Kluyveromyces lactis: one gene and its partners. The protein of the gene in region 1 binds, or shares a complex with, the protein of each later gene. Links are inferred from orthologs where the notes say so. Each region holds a gene or a part of one and is shown in the gene's direction. Other genes may lie near its edges.

Evidence for each region. Proteins that work in one complex are often made in the same cells at the same time.
Region 2: the proteins of SEC66 (region 1) and SEC63 are in contact, whole or in part, in a cryo-EM structure (PDB 6N3Q), measured with the Saccharomyces cerevisiae proteins. The link is inferred for Kluyveromyces lactis from reciprocal best matches to the Saccharomyces cerevisiae genes SEC66 and SEC63. Residues at the interface, in NP_009730.3 of Saccharomyces cerevisiae: Asn69, Lys109, Leu113, Gln116, Ile117, Leu120, Asn123, Gly124, Ser125, Ile126, Gly127, Glu128, Asp129, Tyr130, Arg133, Arg178, Arg179, Ser182, Arg186, Val189, Glu193, Trp194; in NP_014897.1 of Saccharomyces cerevisiae: Gln247, Thr250, Lys251, Lys252, Asn256, Ala259, Ser260, Val263, Val267, Asn268, Tyr269, Lys270, Pro271, Ser272, Glu273, Ile274, Thr276, Ile339, Gly342, Phe343, Arg344, Leu365, Pro367, Thr528.
Region 3: the proteins of SEC66 (region 1) and SEC72 are in contact, whole or in part, in a cryo-EM structure (PDB 7KAO), measured with the Saccharomyces cerevisiae proteins. The link is inferred for Kluyveromyces lactis from reciprocal best matches to the Saccharomyces cerevisiae genes SEC66 and SEC72. Residues at the interface, in NP_009730.3 of Saccharomyces cerevisiae: Ala71, Leu74, Gln77, Ile78, Met81, Ile87, His88, Lys90, Val91, Lys93, Ala94, Ala95, Leu97, Asn98, Trp159, Leu162, Met165, Val166, Glu169, Ile170, Phe172, Asn173, Gln174, Leu176, Ser177, Arg178, Arg179, Tyr180, Gln181, Ile183; in NP_013395.1 of Saccharomyces cerevisiae: Thr3, Leu4, Tyr6, Lys11, Ile13, Asn27, Ile28, Gln30, Ile31, Leu34, Thr35, Leu38, Ile39, Glu41, Pro44, Asn45, Phe46, Pro48, Ile85, Glu86, Gln89, Arg90, Ala93, Pro94, Trp95, Glu96, Phe98, Gln101, Leu102, Leu105.

Annotation. Positions count from the first base shown.
Region 1 is NC_006041.1:2,180,110-2,183,088, reverse strand, and holds SEC66 (Sec63 complex subunit SEC66), read left to right. Parts: upstream 1-1,642; coding exon 1,643-2,251; downstream 2,252-2,979. Other genes in the region: NPL4 (nuclear protein localization protein 4), read right to left, coding at 1-1,299; SMY2 (Smy2p), read right to left, coding at 2,365-2,979. UniProt on the Saccharomyces cerevisiae protein: Acts as a component of the Sec62/63 complex which is involved in SRP-independent post-translational translocation across the endoplasmic reticulum (ER) and functions together with the Sec61 complex and KAR2 in a channel-forming translocon complex.
Region 2 is NC_006039.1:846,910-851,237, forward strand, and holds SEC63 (protein-transporting protein SEC63), read left to right. Parts: upstream 1-1,731; coding exon 1,732-3,741; downstream 3,742-4,328. Other genes in the region: MEX67 (Mex67p), read right to left, coding at 1-1,159; peptide alpha-N-acetyltransferase subunit NAT5, read right to left, coding at 3,828-4,319. UniProt on the Saccharomyces cerevisiae protein: Acts as a component of the Sec62/63 complex which is involved in SRP-independent post-translational translocation across the endoplasmic reticulum (ER) and functions together with the Sec61 complex and KAR2 in a channel-forming translocon complex.
Region 3 is NC_006039.1:462,097-465,075, reverse strand, and holds SEC72 (Sec63 complex subunit SEC72), read left to right. Parts: upstream 1-1,759; coding exon 1,760-2,392; downstream 2,393-2,979. Other genes in the region: KLLA0_C05148g (uncharacterized protein), read left to right, coding at 1-349; KLLA0_C05126g (Ran family GTP-binding nuclear protein), read left to right, coding at 775-1,419; KLLA0_C05082g (translation initiation factor eIF-2B subunit), read left to right, coding at 2,631-2,979. UniProt on the Saccharomyces cerevisiae protein: Acts as a non-essential component of the Sec62/63 complex which is involved in SRP-independent post-translational translocation across the endoplasmic reticulum (ER) and functions together with the Sec61 complex and KAR2 in a channel-forming translocon complex.

The DNA of each region.
Region 1 (2,979 bases):
TTCGTTAATGTATGCTTGTGAGGGATGTGTAGATCCAGAAATTAGGTCGGCTTCCACTAAGCCTTCCGCTTCAATGCTTACTTGGTACGTAGCAATATCAATCTCTTGGTTCAAATTTCCTGAGATGCAACAAGTTACGAACCTCGATGAGAATAATCCTGTTTCGCTAAATTTACTGACGTTGGGGTGTCTTAACTGATGCTTAGCAGCCATGATCACTTCAAGTGACGAGAGGAAAAATGAATCTTTATGTCTTTTACAATACACAGATCCATCTCCCAGCCCAGTATCCGTCAAATCAGTGAATATCATACCTATCCTTTCCAAACCCATTTCGCGCGCAAGTTTATCCGTGTCCTCTACCTCTTTAACGACTTGGTCCATATCCATGGTAAGACCATCTTGTTCATCATGTTGCGGCGGTTCCCATATGGCCTCGACCACTGCCTTTATTCCCAATGGAACGTTATCGTATCTTTTATAATAACCGTATAAATAACCAAATCTTTGCATACCAGTGGTTCTCCAAGAGTCGATGAATTGGTTAATCAATTCACTCTCCTGAAATTCAACATGGTCTACCATTCTAAAGGATTGCTGTTGGAGTGTAATAGCAGAGGGTTGACATTTGGAGCAGATACCTTTGGGCCACGGCTCATGACCACCCGCACAATTCAAATTTATCTCATAGTTAGGTTCACTTAGGGGCGGAATGTATGATGAACCGGAGGATTTTTTGTTGGTAACCTCGTCTAGCTGTTTCAAATACGCATGGAACGATATGTGTTTGATGCTGTGTTCATCTTGATAGCCTTTGTCCCAAGGCGGCAATGGCGAGCAATACTCACACATTCCCTTTTCTCCATGTCTACAAAGTGATGATCTTGAACGAGGTATCAATCCAGTCTCACCCTCAAGTTCTATATCTAAAGCAGATTCCTTGACTTTGCCTCTTATTGATCCCTTGTTGTGGCTACTACTGATGGGAACACTCGTTGTGCTTGCGGAGACAGTCATATTGGTCATTTCCTTCTCCGAAACATTCTTTTCTTCAGTGTCCAAAACCTTGAATTCAACTGTCACCATGTCTCCATGTCTCAAGCCAAGTGATTCCACACCTTGGTGTGCTATCTCAGTCATCAGTTTGGAGACGCCAGGTTGTGTACTTACTGAAACTGAGTCAGGATCCACATTAAGTCTTAATTGGTTTGCCCATTTTTCAATCACACTGCCAAAATTGTCATTTCCTTCGCAACTTACACGGTGAATACCAAGTTTTGATCTCAATCTTAATAGCATGGTAATGTCGCTTGTTCTATAATGCACTTTTTTTTCCGCTATAAAGTAGAGGTTTGTACTCTTTCTAACTCGCAATGCTCTTTCTTTATCTAATAGTGGCAAAGATTTAGGAATTGCAAATGCTTAATGTCAAATGAGGATTCCAACATCACTCAGTATACGTATTAAAATAAGAAAAAAGTGAAAAAAACGAAAAGTGTAACATCTATATCTAAACACATACCATCTTCTGAAAGTTGTAAGTTGAGTGGTAATTGTCAACTGTGGCCTGTTGAGATATCGATTTGATTGTTGTTTAAATTGAAACACCTTCCAGGATCGTCTTTGGAAGAAAAGAACAAAAATGTCAGATAACGGAACGCATTTCAACGAGACTTTTTTCGAAGGGCAAGAGAAGCCTGAAATCAAGGTGGTCAGCGTTTACACACCGTTAGTTTATGTTTCGATCTTGGTAATATCTTTAATGATCTTTGCATCCAAGTATAGGAGGAGTCAAGTCAAGAAACTAGCTGAATTACCAAGCATTTTTGATGAACATGAAGCCCGTGATTTATATTTTGCAATTGCAGAATTAGCTGAAACAGAACAACTTCACCCTAAGGTGGTTAAAGCTGCTCTGTTGAACCGTGGTGCAGAAGCTGTAAGACGTACCATTAAATTAAGAGAGGTCGCCGTTCAAATTGAGATCTTGTATAAGAATGGGTCCGTTGATGATAAGTATTGGCAAAGGTACCAAAACGAAATGAAATTGGTTGATCTTGAATTGAAAAGTTGCATCGAAGAAGCAGAAAGATTACAACCAGATTGGCCCCAAGCATTTGTGAATCTATGTAGAGAAATCTGTTTCAACCAAGCTTTACAAAGACGTTACGATTCCATTTTAGATAGAAAGAACATTTTCCAAAAACTATACCAATTGAAGTTGGATGACAACGGTAAACTAATTCAGTAATGATACCACGTAGATACAGTTGAGTTTTCTCTCTGGGTATTTGCTAGAGATTATGTACACTATACAAAAAACAATATAATGCTAGATGCTACTGACCCCATACGTTTTAGAGACTAGTTCCTTTTACCTTTTTTCTTACTCACAACTTGGAATTCCCAATCATCAGCGCTTCCCTGTGGAAGAGCAAGAGCTTCTGACCATGTTAAAGGATCATTCAATGATTTCTCGCATTCAATACGTCTTTTAATAAATTCTGATGCAAAGGAACGACCTTCCATCACTGAACTGTTAGCGTAGATAGTATCAGAGATGATTTCCTTGGAATCCATGCTTGGTGGTAAAGAGAGTAACATCTCTAAAACAGAATCCACTTTAACACCAGGTGCTAGTTTCATTTGAGATCTACACCAGCTCAAAAATTGCCTCCTTGCAGAAGTGGATTGATTACCTGAATAATTGATTGGAGAAGAGGTAACACCCTTTTTCAGAGTTGGGATGGAAATTGAAGAGCCGTGCAAAATTTTCTTCTTGGTGTTGCCAGGGTTCAAAAATGAGTTGTTAATCTGAGGGGCTGGTCTTGGAGAGTCCAAACTTGTCTTCTTTTTAGCAATTGTAGACCAAGAATCGGAGCTAGGTGACGCAGATGACTTGTTTTGAGAGTTTTGTATTTCTTCCAAGATTCTACGTTGCTCTTCGATATATTTGATACTATCCGCGGATGGTTCTGG
Region 2 (4,328 bases), on another chromosome or scaffold:
GCACAGAGTAAGCATCAGGTTGTTCTTGCAAAAAATGTTTTGTCATAGGGAGAGATCCGAACACTTCATAAATTGCTTCGGGCCCTATACGTAACCGTTCTTGGATGGTCTTGTCGCTAGATATCTTGGAAATGTTTCTTGAAAATGGTAAGTAATGACCGAATGTAGGAGTCGTTTGAGCATTAGGTACAGTAGCAGCTGGAACGGAAGAATCAACACTTAAGGAAAATTGAGACTGTGGAGTGTACAAACCCATCAATTGCATTCTATTCGAATCCCACAAGTTCAAGAAGTTGGTAATAAAATCTGTTGACGATGATGCCAATCCATTATCTTCGAAAAAGAACTGGGTTTGTTGTACCGGTAAGCTATAGATAGACAGTAGTTTCTGCTCGTCACGAACGACAACGTTATCTAGAATCACCAATTTGGGGAATATCCTTAACATTTCTGTACGATATAAACGATCCGATGTAATTGGATTATTCATCATCAGAAGCTCCCTCAACTCTTTGAATTTATTCTTCCAAACTTCAAGAGAATGGAATCGACTAATACTATTATTGGCGATGCATAGGTTTTTCAAATGAGGGAAAGTCTGTGCCAACGTGGTAACACCATTGACGTCTCTCAAATTATTATCAGATAGGTTGATCGATTCAACAACCATGCTAGGCTCCTTTGAAGCCACTTTCATCATAGCCGGGAACATCTTGGACTGCGTATTAACATTTTTCGGAGCCATACCGCGTTGCACCAACTCCGGATCATTGAACAAATTACCAAGATCCAACATCCTCGTTTGCACATTATATCTTCTCAAAAGCACATTACGAAGAACGGTTATCGTATCATTCGTATTAGGGTTTGTGTTCCCACCGGCTGCCTTGTGAATCTTCAATGAATTGCCTGCAAACCGGTACCCACTAAATTTCACCAATTGATCTGCCTCCTGCGGTGTCACATAACCAACTATAGTGTCCCCTTGAACCACAGAGTTTCTCACTGAGATCCTGGTCTTTCTCGAAATGAAATTCAACAAATCCTGTTGAGTAGCGTTAGTCCATCCACGAATGCTAACGCTGACTAAGTTATCCAATTGGTTTTGCTGTGCCAAAGCACCAATCTGATTCACGTTACCAAAACCACTAACTTGCATCACTCTAGTAACGCTATATCACAAGACTTTTCTCAACCAAATCGGTTAACCCGGTGAGCCTCATCTTTCAATCTCTATTCCCATCTCAATTACCAATGAGACTAGCACATTTTTTGATTATTTCTAGGTTTTTAGCATTTTTTTTTTTAATTTTATTCTTCAGTTTAGTAGAAAGAGATGATCGACCAAATCGAAACAGAAAATTCAAGGTCATGTGATATATTACGAGCACGTGACGTATAAATATCTTTTTTTTTTTTGGTCTTTCTCTTCTATTTGTTCTTCTAAGCTCTGCCGTATTGAATACGTATAGTGTTTCAAACAGAAGGAAAAAAACCCAAAGGTTTTTGGAAAATACAGACTGGCATATTAAAATCGAAATAAGTTAACTGTTAACTACTTTTCTAGATCAGAGGAATAATTGTTTGCAGTTTGAAGGCTTTTTTGTTTAATAGTACACTGTGGTTCACTTTTTTTGATTGCTGCCTGCTGTGTGTTTTATTGTAGCGGCTTAATTTATTGGCAGTCTTTTGGTTCTACAACAGACAAGCAGACGAACAGACAACGACGCCATGCCGCAGAATTATGATTACGATGAGGCAAGCACCACATGGCCATTTTTCGTACTCACGGTGTTATTTGTGGCTGTTACACCGGTAACATTGATTGAGCTGTATAGATTGATTGTTGGGGACTCCAGCGATAAGAGTTCTTCATCAGAATGGAGTCAATTGCACGAAAAATATACTTCAGAAGAAGTTCGGAAATATAGACTTGCTAATAAGAAGAAAAGGTCCAAGAAGGGAATTTACTTCATTACCGTTGGTTGGGTGCTCATTTCGATGTTGATTTATCATATTCGTTCCAACGATGCTATCTATCAGATTGCAGCAGCGGCTTTTGATCCATATGAGTTACTTGGTGTGACGCTTTCGTCTACCGATAAAGAGATCAAGTCTGCATACAGGAAATTATCTGTCAAATTCCATCCCGATAAGCTTTCCAAGGACCTAAATGAGATTGAAAGAACGGCTATGGAGGAACAGTTCGTGATGATTAACAAGGCTTATAAGGCTTTAACTGATGAAATTACGAAGGAAAATTATAGAAAGTATGGTCATCCAGATGGTCCTCAATCTACTTCTCACGGTATCGCTTTGCCCAAGTTCTTGGTGGAAGGAGGTACTTCCCCATTTGTTGTTTTTGCATATTTCATTCTACTTGCGTTTGTGTTACCCATGGTAGTTTCTAAATGGTGGAGCACTTCGCAAGAGTACACAAAACACGGTATTCATTCTGAAACAGCATCTCACTTCGTTGACAAAATGTTCAACTTCAAACCATCTTATGTTGTTGTGCCAGACTTAATCATTAAATGGATCTCTGAAGCAAAAGAATTCCAATTGAAATTCCCAGAATTGTCTTCCGTGGACATCGCTAACATTATCCATTCCCATGTTAACCGTGAAAAGACTGAAAACGAATATGCAAGGAACTATGTGCTTACCAAATCATCGTTACTTTTCCATCAATTGATAGAAATCGCATCCACTTTTAGGAACACTGAAGTTGCATTGATGGCGTTAGACACGTATAAGACAGTGGTACAGGCAACTCCGTTATCGCCACACTCTCAAATCTTTCAATTACCAAACGTGGATAAAGAGCATTTCTTGGATTCAACTACAGATGATATTTGTGCCTTGGGTAAATTATTCACATACCCAGATGATAAGATAGGTAAGATGCTAGGAATAAAAGATGAAACAGCACTCAATGAAACTTTGAAAGTAGCGTCTCGTATTCCTAAGTTGAAGCTCGTCAAGGGCTCCTTCAAAGTTCGTGGATCTTCTCTAAATACCGCAGAACCAGGTTCTACTCCTCACATTCAAGTTAAAGTGTTGGTTCGTTCTCCAAGACACAAACTTTTCCCAAACTCATTGATCCCAGCTGAAAAAATAGCTGGCGATGATCCATTGTTATTGGAACAGGATCCCTTCGAAAAATTGTTGGAACAACCATTGTTGCCTGAAACTTTCGCACCTTTGCTTCCAACAAAGAGACGTACTTGCTGGTATGCGTTAGTGGTATCACAAAAGGATGGTAAAATAATTCAAACCCCAAGCTTGGCCCAAAGATTGTCCCTAGAAAATTTGGATGTCAATTTCGATAAAAGAGTTATTAAAGATTTAGACAAGGAATTTAACGCTGAAGACTGGACCATCGGCACTTTCTCAATTCCTTTCGCTCAGCCTGCTCCTAAAGAAGAAGGCACATATTTCTTCAGAGTCGTTATCAAGTCTCCAGATTACTTTGGTTCTGATTTAGACTTCACTGTTCCATTGACTGTGAAAAATACTCCAATTGAAACAGATCCTAAGAAGGAGATATTGGAAGAACTAGACTCTGACGATTCAGGAAATGAAGGCGAAGAAAATACTGGATATTCCTCCGAAGACTTTGATGAATCCGATGGTGATGATCTAGAAGAGGACTCTGATTTCACTGATATAGATACTGATACTGAAGATGAACATGAAGCAACTGAGGAAACCACTGAAAAATCCTCCAAGACAGATTAACTTTTTACTTACAGTTCCTAATAAATTATCTGAGCACGCATTAACCATCACTAAATTGACAGGGCTTTTCATATGTAGATATATATTCATACTGACTTCTTATATACAAATGCATCATTAGATCCAGTGGTATTCTTGTAATAGTTTTCCAAAATGTCACCATCCCTGGAAAAGCCATTCTTCTCATACCATTCTATTGCTGTTTCATTGTCGGTGGCAACATGCACGTATATATCGTGTTGAAAGCTTTCCTTACATTTATCTTCGATATACTTCAACATTAATGAACCAGCTGTCTTTCCACGGTAAGCTTCAAGTACGGCCAATACTTCGATGTACATACCTGCTGGTTTGACTCCGCCGGTCTTATTGGCTATTAATCTGGATTTTACAGCACCAATCGCAATTTCCCCGTAATATGCTAGCTGTGCATAGAATACTCCTTTCGCATTCTTGTCCACAACTTCCTCGAAGTATTCACCTGGATACTGAACCGGTAGCACAACATCAATGATCTTTCTGAATGTTCCTAAATTGTTAGCGTAAACGTTATCAATCGTAACCAATGCTCTACCCATCTTCTCAAT
Region 3 (2,979 bases), on another chromosome or scaffold:
CGCCGATGGAGACAGACCGAATATAACATGGGGAACATCTTTAGGACATCTTACAGTAGGAAAGCTGATGTATTCACGCGACGCTGTCGAAGCTAATCAAATTGACATGCTTAGCGATAAATTAAGTGACGTGATAGATATCAACACTAGTTTATCCCAAGATCTTGATGCAGCTACAAGGCTCATATCAAACATGAACAAGACAATCTATACGAAATTTGTGCTACAAATACCTGATACCACGAGTAAAACGGTTACTGTGGACAAATCAGATCACCATGAGGCATCAAGCCAAGCTTTGAACGAACTCACACGTGACTGGGAAGATATCAAATCTCAGTTACCCTGATATTACCCTATTTCTTTTCTACCCTAAATAGGATTGTGACCCTGCAGAAGAGCAGACAACAGTAAAATAATACATTGGATACGTAATCAAACCGATTCGATATGAAGTGCTATCACCATGTGTTTCTCAAGTACTGGTTATAGGGAGGCCAGTTGCAACAGAAGTATTCTATGCTGACTGATTCTTCACTTTCTGTTTCTTATATTTCTCTTTTAGTAAATTGATGGAAAATGCAAGAAATCGAAAAAAAAAAAAAATTAAAACAATGAAATTGAATACTTGATTCAGTTTAGTTATGTATCATCATCTCTTGCGCTTACGATTTGAGACACTTTCGAATAGATACTGCTATTTATTATACTCCGTTGTTGCAACTTTACTGTAGTCACTGCACACACATACCCTGATACAGTTATAAAATAAAAATGTCTGCTGAAGTTCCTACTTTCAAGCTAGTTCTAGTCGGTGATGGTGGTACCGGTAAGACAACTTTCGTCAAGAGACATTTGACTGGTGAATTCGAGAAGAAGTACATTGCTACCATCGGTGTTGAAGTGCATCCTTTGGCTTTTTACACCAACTTTGGTGAAATCAAATTCGATGTCTGGGATACCGCAGGTCAAGAAAAATTCGGTGGTCTAAGAGATGGTTATTATATCAATGCTCAATGTGGTATCATTATGTTTGATGTGACTTCCAGAATCACCTACAAGAACGTTCCAAACTGGCACAGAGATTTGGTTCGTGTTTGTGAAAACATTCCAATCGTTTTGTGTGGTAACAAGGTCGATGTCAAGGAAAGAAAAGTTAAGGCCAAGACCATTACCTTCCACAGAAAGAAGAACCTACAATACTACGATATCTCTGCCAAGTCCAACTATAACTTCGAAAAGCCATTCTTGTGGTTAGCCAGAAAGTTGGCCGGTAACCCACAATTGGACTTTGTTGCCTCTCCAGCTTTGGCTCCACCAGAAGTCCAAGTCGATGAGCAATTGATGCAACAATACCAACAAGAAATGGAACAAGCCACTGCTTTGCCATTGCCTGATGAAGATGATGCTGATTTGTAATCATCTTAAAACCTCGGTATAATATAAATATATGACATGTATATTTTTTCTAATTACATCATCATTTCTCTTCTCCTTAGATGGTTTGAATATCAACCTTAAAGTGGCTCTCCATTGCACGCCAGGTGTTCTAAGCAAGGAAAAAATTGCTGTTTACAGTATTACTATTTTCAAATCTAAGCTGTCAAGTAAATTATACTATCACTGGTGATTTTGGTGCTTCTGATACTATTTCCCTGGTCATTTATTTTTTATCCATAGCACCATTCTCAGTATCTATATTTCTTTATCTCGAAAATACAAAAGCTGTTTTGACTTAACATGTTCAACAAGAATCAATATGGGCCAGAGTACAGGAGCTACACCACCAGTTCCTATAACTGCTAAAAACAAAACCATGATTCAGTACGATAGTAACAATAAGCAGCTAAGCATCGACAATGATTCCAACACAGATAGGCTAACAAACTTGAATCAAATCAACAAGTTAACGACCGCACTTGTACCGGAAACAAACCCAAATTTCCAGCCTCAGCCAAACAATGAAACAACAAACATGGTCAAAAATATGTTTCAATCCGGCATGCAACAAGCACAGAACAAGAATATACCAGATGCTCTCAGAAAAGTCGACCTTGCTGTCGATATGCGTAATAAGGCTCGTAAACCATGGGAACCATTTTCTTTTCAACTTCAAGAGCTACACATGATGTTACGTAACAGAACAGATCTTGAATTGGTTTCACAGCGTAATCTAGATGCATGGCAAGATCTTGAGATGCTTCTCAACTGTGGTATGGTGGTGCCAGAAGTGTTTATAAGGTTAACGGATTGTTTACTTAAGCTAAATCTAGTGGAATTGGCGAGACCTTACTGTGAAAGAGGTCTTTCATTAGACCCAAAGAATGGACCTTTACTTGCACTTTTCCAAGCCTGTGAAAAGAAAATGCTCGAAATTGAGGGTGATCTGTAAATATAGTACATAGGTATCTAATTGAGCCCTCTGAACCGAATACTGTTCGTCCTCATTCTTCATGCTTGACATTTCCACGATGCTTCGTACGGTAATATCCATAATAAAAATACAAAAAAAAAATTTGAAATATGTAACATAAACTCATCACATCAACAAAAGTTGTTCGAAACAATAAGAAAGAAAAGCTAGGCAACTATTGTGATCATCCGTAAGAAATCAAACTAATCAAATTAAGATGTCTGATATCAACGTCGTGATTGATTCTTTCATTGATAGACTAAAAAGAAAACAGGTGATAGGATCCTATCAAGCGTCGTTGGAAACATTACAAATCTTGATGAGATATGTTTCAGCTATTAGATGGACCTCTACTGATGAACTGATAGTACAAATAAAAAAATTCGGAAACAATTTGGAGAAAGCACAGCCATATGAATACTCTTGTGGTAATGTTGTTAGACGTGTATTATCAATGATCAGAGACGAAATAGAGGAGGAACAGAGTAGTGCTGAGCCGATGATATCCTCAATGTTTAACCTATTACAGAAGCCAATGACTGATACGAAGACGAGAAAGATACAGG